Drosophila melanogaster: one gene and its partner. The protein of the gene in region 1 interacts with the protein of each later gene in a pairwise test. Each region holds a gene or a part of one and is shown on either strand. Other genes may lie near its edges.

The links. The genes of interacting proteins can lie anywhere in the genome.
Region 2: the proteins of Wee1 (region 1) and PGRP-LE interact in a two-hybrid assay, tested with the Drosophila melanogaster proteins (2 studies listed by BioGRID).

The regions. Positions count from the first base shown.
Region 1 is NT_033779.5:6,908,192-6,916,719, forward strand, and holds Wee1 (Wee1 kinase), read right to left. Parts: upstream 5,948-8,528; 5' UTR 5,737-5,947; coding exon 5,235-5,736; intron 5,091-5,234; coding exon 4,754-5,090; intron 4,698-4,753; coding exon 3,993-4,697; intron 3,892-3,992; coding exon 3,758-3,891; intron 3,662-3,757; coding exon 3,510-3,661; 3' UTR 2,899-3,509; downstream 1-2,898. Other genes in the region: Rat1 5'-3' exoribonuclease, read left to right, coding at 1-2,701; x16 splicing factor, read right to left, coding at 6,852-7,209; CG32829 (uncharacterized protein), read right to left, coding at 7,492-8,196. UniProt on the Drosophila melanogaster protein: Acts as a negative regulator of entry into mitosis (G2 to M transition). This kinase specifically phosphorylates and inactivates cyclin B1-complexed CDC2.
Region 2 is NC_004354.4:15,799,300-15,807,709, forward strand, and holds PGRP-LE (peptidoglycan recognition protein LE), read right to left. Parts: upstream 4,582-8,410; 5' UTR 4,028-4,581; intron 3,792-4,027; 5' UTR 3,409-3,791; coding exon 3,210-3,408; intron 3,141-3,209; coding exon 2,841-3,140; intron 2,778-2,840; coding exon 2,664-2,777; intron 2,449-2,663; coding exon 2,384-2,448; intron 2,312-2,383; coding exon 1,952-2,311; 3' UTR 1,854-1,951; downstream 1-1,853. Other genes in the region: CG15602 (uncharacterized protein), read left to right, coding at 375-422, 494-738, 797-1,274, 1,340-1,597. UniProt on the Drosophila melanogaster protein: Peptidoglycan-recognition protein that plays a key role in innate immunity by binding to murein peptidoglycans (PGN) of Gram-negative bacteria and activating the imd/Relish pathway. Has no activity against on Gram-positive bacteria.

The DNA of each region.
Region 1 (8,528 bases):
GCTGAGCCGGAAGTATCCATCCGTGATAATAGAATGCAATGAAAACAAGCAGGTGGACGCGGACACCGGTCGAAACATCTACGAGGACCCCACCTTGCCGAATCCAAATGGGATAGAGTTTGACAATCTGTACCTGGACATGAACGGCATCATCCATCCGTGCACGCATCCGGAGGACAAGCCGGCGCCGAAGAACGAGGACGAGATGATGGTGGCCATCTTCGAATGCATCGACCGTCTGTTCGGTATTGTACGTCCTCGAAAACTGCTCTATATGGCCATCGATGGCGTTGCTCCACGAGCCAAGATGAATCAGCAGCGATCTCGTCGCTTCCGAGCGGCCAAGGAAACCACCGAAAAGCGGCTGGAGATAGCACGGATCCGCGAGGAGCTGCTGAGCCGCGGCTGCAAGCTGCCACCGGAGAAGGAGAAGGGTGAACACTTTGACTCCAACTGCATCACGCCGGGCACCCCGTTCATGGACCGACTGAGCAAGTGTTTGCACTACTTTGTTCATGATCGTCAAAACAATAACCCGGCCTGGAAGGGCATCAAGGTGATCCTGTCGGACGCCAATGTGCCCGGTGAGGGTGAGCACAAGATCATGGATTACATTCGCAAGCAGCGTGCCCAGCCTGATCACGATCCCAACACGCAGCACGTCTTGTGCGGAGCCGACGCCGATCTCATCATGTTGGGTCTGGCCACGCACGAGCCCAACTTCACAATCATTCGGGAGGAGTTCCTGCCGAATAAGCCGCGTCCCTGCGACATCTGCAACGGATTTGGCCACGAGATGGACAAGTGTGTCGGACTCGGAGCGACTGCGCCAACTAGCGCCAATTTTAAGCCCGATGTGCCCATAGGCGCCGAGGTAAAGTTCATCTTTGTGCGGCTGAGTGTGCTACGCGAGTACCTAAAGCAGACTCTTGAGATGCCGAATCTGCCATTTGAGTACAGTTTCGAGCGCGCGTTGGACGACTGGGTGTTCATGTGCTTCTTTGTGGGCAATGATTTTCTGCCCCACCTGCCTAGCCTGGAGATTCGCGAGGGTGCAGTAGATCGATTGGTGGAGTTATACAAGAAGTGCGTTTACAAGACAAGGGGCTATCTCACCGACTCGGGAGATGTAAATCTTGACCGGGTGCAGCTGATTATGACCGACTTGGGCAATGCCGAGGACCAGATCTTCAAGAGCCGACAGCGACGCGAGGAGCAGTTCAAGGCCAGGGACAAGGCGCGCAAGAGGCAGGAAAGGAATCAGGACCACGGATCCTTGAATCAGTCTGCTTTTGGCGCCAGCGCCGTGGGTCCAAACAGCCAGCAAAGGAGCGTCGGCAACTACAAGGAGGAGGCCGCGGCACTTCGTAATAGAAAACGGACGAGTGACATGGCCAATTTGGATGACGAAGATGAGGAGGAGAATAACGACGAGGTGCGATTGTGGGAGGATGGCTTCAAGGACCGCTACTACGAATCCAAGTTTGACGTGGCACCGGGTAACCAGCAGTTCCGATACGCTGTAGCCCTGCAGTATGTCCGAGGATTGTGCTGGGTTCTTAAGTACTACTATCAGGGCTGTGCCTCCTGGAACTGGTACTTCCCATACCATTATGCACCCTTCGCATCGGATTTTGTCAACATCCAGGGACTGTCCACGATGTTCGAAAAGGGCACAAAGCCGTTTAATCCGCTCGAGCAACTGATGGGCGTCTTTCCGGCAGCCAGTAGTTCACACGTGCCCGAGCCGTGGGCCAAGCTCATGTCCGATCCGGAGTCACCGATCATTGACTTCTATCCGGAGGACTTTAAGATCGATCTGAATGGCAAGAAGTTCGCCTGGCAGGGAGTGGCTCTGCTGCCGTTCGTCGATGAGAAGCGTCTCTTCAAGGCTTTGGTTCCCTACTATGATCAACTTACTGGAGAGGAGGTGAAGCGAAACAAGCGTGGAGACAATTACCTGTACATCAGCAATCAGAGTCCGCACTACAAAAAGGTGAAGAAAATCAGCGAAAAGGATGATGAGAGCGTTTGCAAAGCCATCTCATTTGACGGTATGCGCGGCACTTTGGGAAAAACCGAACTAAACACTGCCATCAGCGGCGTTCTTAAGTCGCCGATTTCCGGGCTATCGGACATTAATGACAATATAACCGTGACGACCACGTTCAGGGATCCGGAATACGATGAAGACTACATTTTCGAAGCGAAGCGCCTCGAAAACGCCGTAGATCCGCCACAGGTGCTGCCAAATGAGCAGTCTGGTAACAAGCATCGTCCCGTCATCGGTTTTAATAGCCACTTGACCAGGGCCTACGTTCCGGATAGTGGTCACCGCATGCTGAACGCTGGCATAAGGAACCAACAGGGTGGCGGTGGCAATGGAGGTGGAGGAGGAGGCTACGGGCAAGGAGGCGGCTACGGCCAGGGAATAGGCGGAAACCAAGGACAGAGCTATCAGAACAATAGCCGAAACTATAACTACAACTACAACAATAACTACAATCAGCACCAGGGTGGCGGCTATCAAAACAACTACAATAACCGACAGCAGCAGCAATATGGCCACAATCAGAGATTCAACCAGGACAATTCGAATCAGCAGCAGCGCAACTTTAACAACTATAATGGTCCAAGGAACAACAACTACCAGCAACAAGGCGGCAGCAGGCAACAGAATCAGAATTATAGACGGTTTTAGGTGTATCATACAAACAATATAATATGTAGCGCATAACAAAAGTGTAATCCATATTAATTTACATTATTTTTTAATGAAGAAAATATACTGATTAAGGATTTCCAAACAAACTCATGCCAAGTTCTGAGTTTGTTCTTTAAATGAAATACCCATTGCATTTCTATCAAAGCAGCTTACAGCCAACATCTAGTCTTAGTGCCTCAAAGAAAATAAGTCAAATTACAATAATGATCATTTCTCTTTCCATTGATTGCGTAAAAAAAGCAAACTAGCTGGATAATACAAAAAAATGAGACGATTGTTATTTTCAGATAAGGAAAATGGAACATAATTTGACAGGAAATTGGATAATATCAAAACAATTTCTAGTGGAGTAAACAATTGAATTTAAGAAAAACTTCGCAAACATTTTGTTTTAAATCCGGAGTCATAATAAATCCAGTAGTTTTTATGGAATAGCATTCGCTATATTTAACGAATGGAATGTTATTATTTCGATTTCCATGTAACATAATAAATATTTTAATTTCGAAAACAATACTCATTACAACTATGCGAGAATCTTAAAGTTTACAAGGGGCTTTTCTTAAAACGATTGTGCTTTCTTAACAGGGAAAAGTTCACTGAGCTTGAAAAATATATAGATTATATTTACGAATGCTTCAAAATCCATGAGCTTAAACGAAAGCGAATAGTTAGAAATATGTATCGATTATATGAATACGCTTAAAAGGTAACACAATGTGAGCTTAGTTCACGTTCGATTCGGAAGAGTTTAGCTATCGGTTCGGCATCTGTTGCGAGCTTATCAGATATTGGTGATAACGTTCTTGTTGCGATCGGATATGCTGTCGAACTTGCCATGGCTGGAGAATGGCGTGCGCATGCGTCGCGTGAAGCTGCGAAGGCAACGCTGTCCATCCAGACTGTCCGGATTGTTAGTCACCGCAAGAAGATTGACTAAAATGAGTTGCAGAAACGTTAGAAATTGTAAACATCCAGATAACCAACCACCTTAAAGTTTAAGTTGTTATACAACTATTTATCTTATCTTACCTCGTTGCTCGAGCAGTTTAATCTGTTTTTTGGCCTCTCTCAGCTTGTTCATCAGTATCTCGTTCTTGCGCTTCTCCACGGTCAGCTCCAGGCCGAGCTGCAGCTTGCTCTTGGAGTCAACAGCACTCAGAATTCTGCAAATTAAACGAACATTATATGTATTTAGTGTGAGCACATTTATCTTAAATGCAACTAAATATGATTGTCGCTTATACTGTCGACTCAATTTACTTACGGATGACTGAATATAGACTGCGAAGTGGGCCTCTTGTCGGGATAAGGATGCATCATCTGGGCTATGAGCTCGTTAAAATCCCTGCTCAGGCTCGGCAGAATCGGCACCTTGCCATCTCGCAAGTTGTGCCATTCGGGTCCATTTTTAGGCAGCGGACCACCGCCGGCCGCCTCGAACAGCGTGATGCCCAGGGAAAATATGTCGGCCTTGAAGAGATTCGAATAATCCTCGTGAAGGATCTCCTTGGGCAGGTAACGACAGTCTCCCTCCTCGACGTAGGGTTCCTTAACGGAGGTCACGTGTCCCAGGTCGCCGATCTTGTACGTAACCAGATTCTCTGAATGGCGCAGTTCTTCATAGACGCTGTCCATGCCATCGTCATCTTTGGTCTGCTGCGGCTGCACCTCCACCAGCTTGTGTGCATTGGGATTCATGGTGGAGAATATGTTTTCGGGCTTCAGATCCATGTGCACCAGGTCATTTGAATGAATATAGCGTAGGCCCTCTATCACATGCATGAGAACAATCTTTAGCTCTGCCTCACCCAAACAATGATCTTGGATGCGCGCGTGCAAGCTGCCACCATCGCAGAATTCATTCTGTATCAGCATATGATCGTCCTCCGCCCACGCGGAATAGTATCTAACCACGTTATCGTGCTTGCCCAATACAGCATGGGCCCAGACCTCGTTCAGGGCTCTCTTTCTGCAAGCAAATAGATTGTTAAACGACGCTCGTTGCAATAACTAATGAATACTCACTCGAAAGAACTGCCTGCCACCGGCTTCTTACTCTTTTTAATCGCATATATGCAGCCATCTAGTCGATTGACGCATTGGAACACCACACCGAACTCGCCAACGCCGATTACGTTGACTTGCATGAACTCCCGCTTGAAGCGACTGATGTTCGTGTCGTGCAGGGCCAGCCGCTTGGGTGCCTGCTGGTGGATTTCGCGCATCGAGTCGCCCGCCTCCTCCGTCACATCGTCGTCGCAGGCATCACTGAGCAAATACTTTTGCATAGCATTCACGTTCAGGTTGAGGTTTTCGCGTCCGAATTGCGTGCGACAGCGCTTCTTATTGTGAGCCATGAGGCCTAAAAATAAAAAAAATGATTATTAGATTGCTAATAAGACTAAGCTGGGATGGGTTAAAGTGGAGTGCAAATTAAAGCAACGAACTGGAAATTGATACCTTTATTTAATTAAAATATCAAAAGCGAGAAACGTTTTAAACTTACTATCTGGCGTGAAGGGGTTCACATTTGCCGTGTCCTGGGTGGGCAGTTTGCGGTTGTGCAGTGGCAGAGATCGCGGGCGCTCTGACAGGCGGAAGAGGTCGTCGCTGCGCCTGGAGGCATTCACTGCCGCTGCTGCCGCCGACAGATGGTTGCTGCACTGCGTCGTCGACTTCTGCAGGATGGTCTTTGGAGTGGCCGGTGTGCTAAAGAGTCGCAGGGCCCGCACCTTTTGGCATGGCGGCGACATGGACACGTCCCCGTCGCCGCCTTCTTTGCCTATCTTACTGTCCAGCTGCTGCTCCTCACCGGAGGATAGCTTCGGCCGCTGCTGAAGGGGATGCTGCGGACTCGCTCCCTCGGGCGTGTCCTTGTCAAAGTCATCATCGGCGAAGCGGAGCTTGCGCGGATTGAAGACCTGCGGCGATGGCGAACGCGATCTCAGTTCGACGCTTGAATCGAGTGAGGTGACGCTCATCTCGTGCTCCGACTGGCGGAATGCCATTGTTGCTGTAGCTGTCCAGCTGACCACGTTGAAAGACGATTCTGTTCGTTATTTCTGATTTCAGAACTATTTGTATGGAAGCCGGCGGCAGTAAAGTAAAGGCAATAGTTAAAAAAAATGCAAAACAAAACACAAAACAAAATTTAACTGGAGGAATGCTAGTCTAATAATGTGGCCGTACCCGATGCGCAATAAAATACCAGCTCTGACTGAAAAAATACTAAGTAACTGGAAGTGCAGAGTTACCAAACAAACAAAATACTAAACATCTGGCAAAAATACCAATTTAAATAATGCGCACCTACTTCTAAACTGAGTGACCAGACTTGTTCAAGACCGCATAAAGCCCGCCAAATTCAAATGGAAAACAACTAATTTTGGCATTTAATTTATTGATTGAATATCTGTATTTTAGTGTTCAGCGCATTTGCTACATAATTCAAACACACATCTCAAGAATCCATACATATGTATTTTTTTAATACTTAACTATGACATCAATGTATGAATAATTATTATGCACTGTTGCAATACTTAATTATTACGAATATAGAAACACATCATACAGAGATTGGAGTCAAATAATCAAGTTGTTGTGTTGCATAAATTGAAAATTGTGTAAAATTGACATGAAAATGGTGGCGATGCTTCGTCCTCTGCACATTCGAGTATAATTCCAGGGTAAGCAAAATAAAATCCAAGGCAAATCAATTTACATAGCAATCCTGACTAGATCGTTAATCTGCGGCTGCCGATACATTTCTATATCTTAAATTTCCTTCCGTCAAATGATTTTCCGAAGCGCTCTCCTTTGTTCTGCGTGTGCTTGTATTTGTTGTTGTGTTGGAACATTAGAATACCTAAATATGCAAACTCGAGTTCCACTATAAATTAAAACCCTTAACTAATATGGTTTTGGACAACTAAAAACCTTAGATGGATACTGCATGAAAAAGTATTTGGGAATCTGTCTTGTTACACGTGAGGTTGTTTCTTTTGGGAATGAGGATTAGAGTCCAGTGCGTGGAGAGCCCATCTCGCCGGATTCATCGGGGGGTTGCAGCTCCGGCCCTCATCATCGCATGTCGGGCTCCGTCTGCATCCGTTCGCTGTCGCTAGTCCCTTGAAACGGATCGTGAGGCGGACGAGTCACCACGACGCCTGGGCGGCGATCCACGGCGCACCGCTGGCGACGCCGATCGAGATCGGGAACGCGACCGCGGCGATCCCCTAACCCGGTCATCGTCCTCATCCTCATAGCGCCGTTTTGGCGGCGGCGGTGAATCTACCGCTCCACTGCCGTTGCGCTCGTGGTCGCTGTACCTCGACGCCGATCCGTTCTCGTCCCGTCCGTTCGAGCGGCCGGAGCGACGGCCCACCGAGCCGGCGGAGCGACTGCGGGATCGAGTTCCGGACTTGGAGCGAGTGCGCCTGCGTCGCGATGTGCTCCGAGATCTGCTGAATGAGTTGCTTCTGGAAATGAAATGGGATAAATCGTCGTGATTAGCTATCAGGCTTTTCAAAAAACGTAACAATTTAAGCTACCTTATATATGTATATACTAATATACTAATACATTTAAATATATTATAGTGTGCTATATTATTTGAAACATTGTAAGTATCAAAACTAGCTTTTAGCAGATTAAGTTTTAACAGCTTATTGAATAAAACACAAGACAGTATAATATTCTAGAACCTCTCCCAGTTTTAATTCTGCATTTCACATAAAGATCACATGTATAATATAGCTTGCTCAATGCTTGCCGCCCTTCTTTTTGTAGTGCTTGTGGCCGTGCTTCTTGGAGCCCTTCTCGCCGTGCTCCTTCTTCTCCTCGAAGCTGTCGCCGTACTTGTGCTCCTTCTTGTACTTCTTGTGGTCCTCGTCGTGGTGACCCTTCTTGTAGTGTCCGTGGTGCTTCTTGTGACCCTTCTTTTTGCCGCCCTCGTGCTTTTCGCCCTTCTTGTGCTCGCCGTGCTCCTCGGCATGATGATGGTGCTCCTTTCCATACTTCTTATGATGTCCGCCCTTGTGCTCATCATCGTAGAACTTCTTCTCCTTGATGTACTCGTCCTTTTTGAACTTCTTGTGGTATTCTAATTCCTTGTGACCCTTCTTGTGCTTCTTTTTGTGATGATGTTTGCCGCCCTTCTTGTGAGCGCCGTGTTCATGCTTCTCACCATGCTCATCCTTCTCATCGTAGTGTTTCTTCTTCTTCGATCCCTTGTCGCCGTGGTGGTGCTCGTGGTCTTCCACCTCGTGGTGCTTCTTCTCGTCCTCTTCCCATTCCTTGTGCTCCTTGTGTCCGTGCTCACCCTTGTGCTCCTCGTCACCGAACTTCTTCTTCTCGTACTTGTCGCCACCCTCCTCCTCCTCGGATGATGAGGCCTCCTTCTTCTTGGCTGCCGCGTAAGTCAGCAGGAGTCCCAGGACCAGCAGCAACTTAAAATGACCATGCATCTCGCATAGTTTTCTCGTTCAAATGGCACCAGTTGCAATCGCATTTATATACCACGCCGTTGACCACAAAATGGTCAAAATGACTGGGCCTGGCATCATGATGCAAGCAATTGGGGCTGACGTAAAAACTTTCTGCTCCATTGGTCCCTTTACCGCAGTCAAACGTACTTTTTACCTCGCAGCGAGTGACGGATTGGCCTCCAAAATTGGGAGCTGCTTTTGAAATATGTTGCTAAGCTTCGCAGACAAGAACTGAATGCCTAAGAGGTAGCTTAGTTCTTAAAATCAAAGGACATTAAACAATTGCAATTGCTTTCTTAAGAATTAAGTAT
Region 2 (8,410 bases), on another chromosome or scaffold:
GAAAAGTGATCAGTGATCAGTCCTCGATTGATTTGTAAACAAAATAAACTACTAAATACATTTACAAGACTAAATACTATTCATTAACAGCTGTTGTGTGCCATGGACAATCGATACCAGGACTCACTCGACTATCTCTAGTTCCTAACGATCTGGTCACAACAAAGCTCAAGAATTTAATAATATTGATATTAGACTAAACCAAAACAAGGAACAGCTGATTTTTAGAACGCTAATGCGTTTAAGTCGTAATCGATAGCTCACCCACTGTACACTGTACACCATCCCTAATTAGAACTGGCTTCTTTCAAAACAAAGCAAACGAAATTTGAAACTTTTTCAATTTATATGTTCCATTGGTGACTCTGGTTGCAATGAGCTGCTTTGGCTGCGGTCGCAAATATGGCCTATTCTGCAAGGAGGCAAGTGCCATCAAACCAAAGCAAACCAACATATATCACCTACTTACATTGTGTTAAATCCGAAATTTTAGTATGGATGCCCCAACTGCGGCTACTCATTCTGCTCCAAGTGCTTGAAGAGACCAATGCCCGTGCCCCGTCATGCAGGAAAGGTGCACAATGTGTGCCTCATATGCTACGACAAACTATCCAAACTCCAGGCGAGCGCCGATGCCGAGAAAGTTATAGACTGTGATGCTTTGCCGGGGATCTTAGTCACCAAAATGAACCTGGCTCCTCCATCCAAAAGTTCAGATGGCGCCGATGCCCTATTCAAGTAAGTAAAATACCACATTAAAACACCGATTCTGAAACTATAATTCGATTAATTGCAGCGACAGCCTGCCTGTGGAGGAGCTGCCACAGGCATTGGTTCCCAGTTCCAGTTCGTCACCACATTCCAAAGATCACAAGGATCATATTGATGAGAACCTGGACAGTGAGTTGACCAAACGAATGCAGGACTATAAACGAGTTGATGCCACCGATGATGAGATCCGCACCCGTCTGGCCAATCTCACTGGGATGCCGCATACGAAAAGCTACGATAAGAAAGATCTGCTACTGTCCACCGACCAAAGAAACGATCAGGAGAAAATGAGGGACTTGCTCGCACAATTCGTTGACGAAGCCCAACTGGATCAAAATATCAGCAGGCAGAGGGATGACTCAATTTCCGACATTGAGAGACGTCTGCGAGCTCTGCGCGATACACCCGTCGATTCCGATGCATGCCCATCGAGATCCCAGATGGAAAGTATCGCGGACAACGAAGAGGATGACGAGACACTTCTACAGAACATATTGAAAAAGGTTCGCATTTATATAGTAGCATTATTTTTTTTAAGCCAAATCATCACTTTCGTATTCCCATTCAGTATGTAGCAGAATCGCGCTTACCAGAACCTTCCGAGAGTGAAATTAGTCCAATTAACACTGAGTCGCCCGGCAACACCGAAGAATTGCCCTGGTGCAATATTTGTAACGAAGACGCCGACTTCCGATGCCACGGATGTGGTGGGGAACTCTTTTGCACTCTATGCTATAAGGAGTGCCACGATGATGACGAGGAGTACCGTGCTCACGTTAAGGAAAAGTATTCGGCTCCGCCAAAGCTTAAAGAAAATCACTTCTAATTGTTAATTGTTTACTTGACTGTACGCAAATTTTTGTTTAATTATAGATTGTTTTCAGCAAATGCATTACTATTGTCTGTATTTATGTGGTGCTAGCTCGCTCATATTTGTGCAGTATAATTGTTGCTTCTCTTTCAGTTGTGAATTAAAACAGGTAGGCGATGTTGGTTCCGAAACATCTTGTGGTTTTTCCACCTTTCAGCGCTGCAAAAACTATACCAAAATATAAAGTAACTTAACGAAACTGCCAGTAGCTGGAAAATTTATAAACAGGTGATTTAATGTTCAACATTATAAACGTAACTCGGGTGCATTTAAGTCTAAGTATGTGAAATGGTGCTCTTCTTTTGTCCCTCATTGTTCCTCCTCCTCGATATTGTAAAAGTGGGGCCATGTCTGTATCTCCTCGTACAATCGCCGACCAGGACTCTCCGTCGAATTGCACTGGCAGTGACAAATTAATCTATAGTCGGTGGATATGTGACCATCCTCAACGCCGCGGGCCAACAGATTGCGGCACATATTCAAGGCGTCTGCCGTCGGGAGTTCTTTCATGAAGCATCCAATGAAACTGATCCCCAGCGAGATCCTGTTGTAACCCAGAGTGTGGGCGCCCACCGTTTTCCATCCGCGTCCCTCGTAGATGTTGCCATCGCAGCCGACCAGGAAGTTGTACGCAATGTCATTCCATCCCCGCGACTCAATGTGGAAGCACTGAAATATATATACATAATTATTATATAGTTCGGAGCATATATGATTTAATTTCGCTAACGAAATACTTACCTGCATGTCACGGATAAGTCTTACGTTGATCGCCCGCTTTTCTGAACTCTCTGTAGCTGTGTGTACTGCGTGGTAAAACAATATTTGTTAATCAAGGTTTTAAATATATTCGAAAAGAGTTATAATACGATATAATCTTAGGTTAGTGAGTGCTAAGCATGATGGTCAGATCAAATAGTATAAATTGTTTTAATTATTGCGTCATACTTTTACAGACAACTTGATTTATAATCAGTTGGCAAAAAAATGGTTAAAACGTGCAGCAAACTTGAATACTCACAGATAACCACATATTTAACAGGCAGTTGCAAGGGCAGTGGCTCGTCCATGGGCTTCTGTGCTAGCCACGAAGAGCGCGGAATGATGGCGGACAGCTCCTTGGGTATTTTGAATTCTGTAAGTGAAATCGGTATCCTATGGTTAACGTGTATGCATCCCCTGGTGAATGATAGCTTACTCTGGCGCCTGATGAACACATCCGAGCGCACCCTCTCCTCCGACTCGTCCTGATAGTCGTCTTCGAAATGTGTCGGAGTTTTGGGAGCGTTATCTCTCGGTGGTGAAACATGCCGCCGATCTCTTCGGTTTTGAGTAAGGCCATCGGCTATGATTTGTATATTTCCATTAATATTGGTAACATTGCCGATATGGACGTTCGTGGAGTTGCTTATATTAACGTTGCCCAAAGTCTGAATGCTGTTGATCGAGTTCATAAGGTCCCTTATGGTGTCGCTGATGATCGAATGCTTTTTGGTAGCTTTAAGGTGGGGATATATTGAAAGTGTTATAAATTGAATATAGAAACTTGATCTTGAGTACTACGCACCGATTTGAGTGCCTAGTGTCATAGTGCTGATTTCTTCACTGGTATTTTGGTCGGCATCCTCCTCTTCCTCGGTATAATCGTAGTCCAAGCTGTCCACAACCGAGGACTCTGCAATGGACTCCAGTTCCTCGTCCTCCTGACTAGCCAACCATTCGCGAGTCCGCTCCTGGCTCAACTTTTTGATTCCCGATTCGGACATGTCCGTAGTTTTGGCTTCTGTTTGCTGCCAATAAATGCGCGTGTATCTCTCGGCTGGCCCTTACTTTGTTTATCAATATTGTGAGTTAGAACTGCTCTATTCTCTGATTAGTGTTCGTGTCGTGTCCACCTTACACGATAAGATAAGGACGTTCCACAGGCTATCCACCATTATATGCGCAGGTGCCGTGGTGAAATGCTTTTTTGCATATCAGTCCACTTGGGGCTTTTTTTTTGCATATTTAGTCATGTGTATTAATTATTGTCATGGATATCGAGGATCAGTCTAGATATCGATAAGTATTATCGATGTTCGCATTTAGAACAATTCCACTGCCTTTGAAGGGAGCTTAGCGGTATCGTACATACAGTGGGCCGCATCCACTAGTTGAGTTTCAGATTTCGATAAGTATTTGATTAACCATATAAAGCTTACAAAAATTTAAATACGAACAAAAAAAAATAGTTTAAATTATCCCTCTTTAACCGTTTTGGACATATATTTCTGTATACATATATATATTGTTCTATGAAAATATATAAATATATATAAATAAATAAATAAGTAAATAAATATATATAAATAAATAAATATAATATATATAAATATATAAACATACAAATGCTTTGTCCAGATCCGAAAACCCCTTATCACTGGCTAAAATATAACCAGTTTGGTTCACCAATCAAATCGACTGGAGGTACAATGCACCCAGTGCTGGAAAAGATGAGCTTTCCAACACTCTTGCCTATATTGGGCTTTAATGCTAAGCAGTTAACTGCAACACTGCACCGTGTTTGATAATAAACCTGTAGAGGCAGGTGATTACACCCAAGTCAGCCCATCTTTAAGCATTAGTCATGGGGCTAGAGGTACTCAGATAAACCACCAAAACCTAATTCATGCGCTGTAAACATTCACTCGACCACTCTCGCGTATGCGCTGTTCTTCCCTCCAAGTCTCTCAATTACTTTCTTTATTTTTATATTTAGTTACTGCTGGCTATTCAAGCCAACCAAAGAGCTACCACAACACGGATTTAATAGTCACTTAGAGCCATTAAAAGAGAATAAACTAAAATGTAACCAACTTATAAACTAATTTTATACATTGCTTAAGCGATAGTTTGACGTATAAAACTGAGGAGCTTATATTTATTACTTTTGACTGCACAGTGGAATGCATTCAAAGGTCTGTTTATGTTTTTGTTCCGGTGTGACCGTATTCCGAACAGGAACACAGTCTAATTTAAAAGTTAAATTAAAAGCATATCAAAAAGTGAAATAAACTTTTTAAATATCTTCGCTAATTGGACAAACAGCTTAAATATATTGTAATCAACAGATAACCTAATCAAATATACCAAAATAGGCATTTTTTAGTGGAGTTCAAAAAAGGGCGGCAATCACCTTCAGCTGAATCAGCTGTCAAATAAAGTGAAGCTTTGGTATTAAAGCTTTTAACATAATTTAGGGGAAGAGAAAACATAAAAATGTATGAAAATGAAAGAGAAAAACGGATTCTCTTTATGTAAAATCTTAGAATTAACGCTCTCTTAGGTTCCACAATTGGTTCCGATTGGAACCGCGCACAAAGAGAGCGAGGAAGAGAGCGAGAGAGTTTCGAGTCGAATTGGAATGGCCAGAAAAATATATTTCTGCTTTCAGTTTCGAAAAATTTTTCGATGGAAGCAGCCGAGTGCGAATGCGAATGCTCAATGAGAAGAGCTTTTACTGTTTTACTTTTTGCCTGAAATACATTTTGAGATAATTTCTTATTGGTAGTTCTGTTTATGCCATCGCTTGCGTCTGTCTGTGTTATTTCGATTGCGAGAGCTAGTTAACATTAGTTAAAATTAAAACAAACGCCAGCCATAAGATATAATCGAATTGCGGTTTTTTCTTCTCGTACCGAATTTCCATCCACATCCGCATCCACCATCCGCCATCCGCCAAACCCATCCCGTTCCGTTTGTTCGTCGCTATCCGTCGGATATGTTGTTCTATCGGTGTACCGTACAAGTACAAGTTCGTACCCAGTCCAAAGCCAAACAGATTGCGCCGTGTGCCGGTAAAAATAAGCGCAAAGTTTGAGAAAAACCATCAACATCAGATGATGTGCCCTGGAGGAAAAAACGTCGCGGATTTAATGAAATCTTAAATAATGGGTTCGCTTTAGCACAATTCGACGTTGCATTCGGCCAGCGGTGTGTTGTGTAAACAAAGTTGTAGTTATAGTTTTAGTTTAATTAGCTTCGCATAAGCTGCAACCGGATCTGAAACAGACCGTGGAAACAAAAAAATAATAATAATAATAATAATAATAATAATTGCATTTCATGTATGCCAGTGTAAATTTGCGTTCGTGTGTGCTAAGTTTACATATAGAGAGCGTGGAGTGGATTGGGATTGGATAGTGTTGGATTGGATAGTATCCCTATCCGATTCGCGCCGTTATTGTTAATGCGCAGGTAATTCGGAGCGCTTTTCGGCCATTCTGCCCAATACCAATATTTTGTTCTACATCGTGTTTTTATTTTTATTTTTTTTCCAACATTTTTTTTGCTGTGCTGTGCAGTGCTGTATGCGTTTATTTGACAGCTTATGAATCACCCACAAAGATTTATTTGTGCTGATTGCAGCACAACTGTTGCACCCCATTCAAAAAAAAAACAAATAAATAAATTAATAATCACAAAAAACACCCGCACATCGTCTTCGGGAAAACTACTGAAGCGAGTTGGGCCAGCAAAAAAAAAAAAAATACGTATAAATACAAATAAACAAATAATACCCAAGCCATTGTTCCCCCTCCTTAACGATTATAATTACGTTGCTTTTTTTTTTGCAGTGCATTTATTAAGGAATCCGTCTGATATCAGAACAACCTTAACTAACGCCTTTAAATCAATGATATGGTGGCCAATTCCCATTCCGTCGAACAATCGAATCGAGCGACTAGATTCGGTAAACATCGACCAAGTGTAAACTCGACTCCCATTACCACTGTGTAAATACCAGAAAGTAAATCCAAAAAAAAGAACAATAATTCAACCTGCAGGGGAAACTAAAAACGCACGATACACTTATTTGGAAGTGGATTTAAGTTTCAGTAATGCCAGCCAATGAACGACCAATTGCGATACAATACAGAAACACAAACAGAAACCGAAACATAAGCGAAGAGTAAATAAATGCAAATTAAAACAAAAAAGCCGGGCTCATGACACAATTGGTCATGTAAATCGCGAAAGATAAACATAATCCGTATAATTCGTATAAATATCATCGTAGTCGCGACGGTGGAAAATGTGCAGTGCGGTTAAATCCTAAAAAATGGATCGGTTTTCACTGATAAGCATCCGCATTTGGGTTTATTTCTTCGATCCCTGCAAGGTCCGCGAAAAAAGTTCGCCGAAGAAGGTGCTGTGAATAGCCCAATCAATCCGCACAGCTCTCCATTTCGAGATAGAGATCTTCTCCAGCTTTCGGAATCCTCGCACATCTAGACCATATCCTAGCCAATCGGAGCAGCCGCGCAATAAGTAGCATCTAATCCTGGAGCTTTACACCAATGCGATATGGATTGTGATTACTCGAAGTTTCTGTACAAAAGTAAGTAAATGCTAAGATTAGATACGATGATAATATTTTAAAATTTACCGACGGCAACTTACCCCGTTCATTAGTGGTAACTCGATGATGAATTTTAATGAATTACAATTTATTGTGCATTTGTAATTTTAAAATACTCTTCAATTTTAATTGCACTGTCAGCGATTCTTGGGTTTTTCTTCTTAGAAGCAAATGATGAAAGTCTATTTAATGTCAAAGCCATAAAATTCGATTTTAGTTCTATAGTCTGGCGAAATATTCAACTATTTAGACAATTTATGAATGCTGACAAAAAATAATGTTCTATTAAGTGGAAAAAATGTTGACTAAAGAATTGAGGGATTAATGTTAGAGGAAACAAATCTGATAATTCAGCAATAAAATAAGAAGCAATAATCTTGAAGACTTCGGGCCTTGAAAAGGTCCCATTTATGTTCCTCTCCAAAAACTTAAAATAACAAGGTTTTTTTTTTTTTTTAAATTGGAACAGGATTGCGTCGGTGGTAAATCGGCTTTTTCCGCTGGAAAAACAACAAACAAAGTCTTAATTGAATCCTTATGGGATTTTGTAGGATTATATTTACATACATATTGTAGATTGCCTAATATGTAACGTAAAGTAGCAATACTTAATACTTTGATAGAACACTAATAAAATGAAAAAGTTTATCCTGTGAACTGATCAACTCGATCTGTCCGAATGTTTCGAACGTTTCCAAGAATCAAAAAATTCAATTCAAAAAATTCAAAAAAATAAAAATTGAGTCCCAAAAACTATAGTTTCTGATGGTTAATGCATTCATGTGATCGAATCAAATAACAATATTAGAGTAGAAATCTTACAACACATTGCTTTTCCGCGATAAAAAATCTCGTGCTAGCTTTTATCCAATGGGGATGACAATGATGTGGCAGTGAGATGGGGTTTTTTTTTTTTTTTTTTATCAATTTCGTAGGCACATTTTTCGCTAGAGGTATTTTCAGTTTCGAAACATTCCACGGGACACTGTGCGTTTTCTTGTTGCCATCTTCCATAGAAAGTTCGTGGATTTCGGTTTGGTTCGCATCGGCTTCCCTTGAAACCGACAAAAGCAGGCGACGGAAGAAGCGAAAAGCAAGCAGCACGGCAGCGTCGGCAACGTCAAAGCGACACACAAGCAGCAGCAAGTTGGAAAAAAAGGATTCTTCCCATCAGAAGTTGATTCCTCATGGTTTTGCACAAGATAAAAATATTTTTTAATGTTCCCTGAACACAAACAAAAATTTAAGGAATGTCACGTTGTAGTGCCGTCTCGCTCCGCTGTGCGCTCCATGTATGCATTGCGCATTTATTTTGGTTCCCGGTCCGTCGATTCTTCTCAGCCGTTGCCGTTCCTGTTGTATCTCGT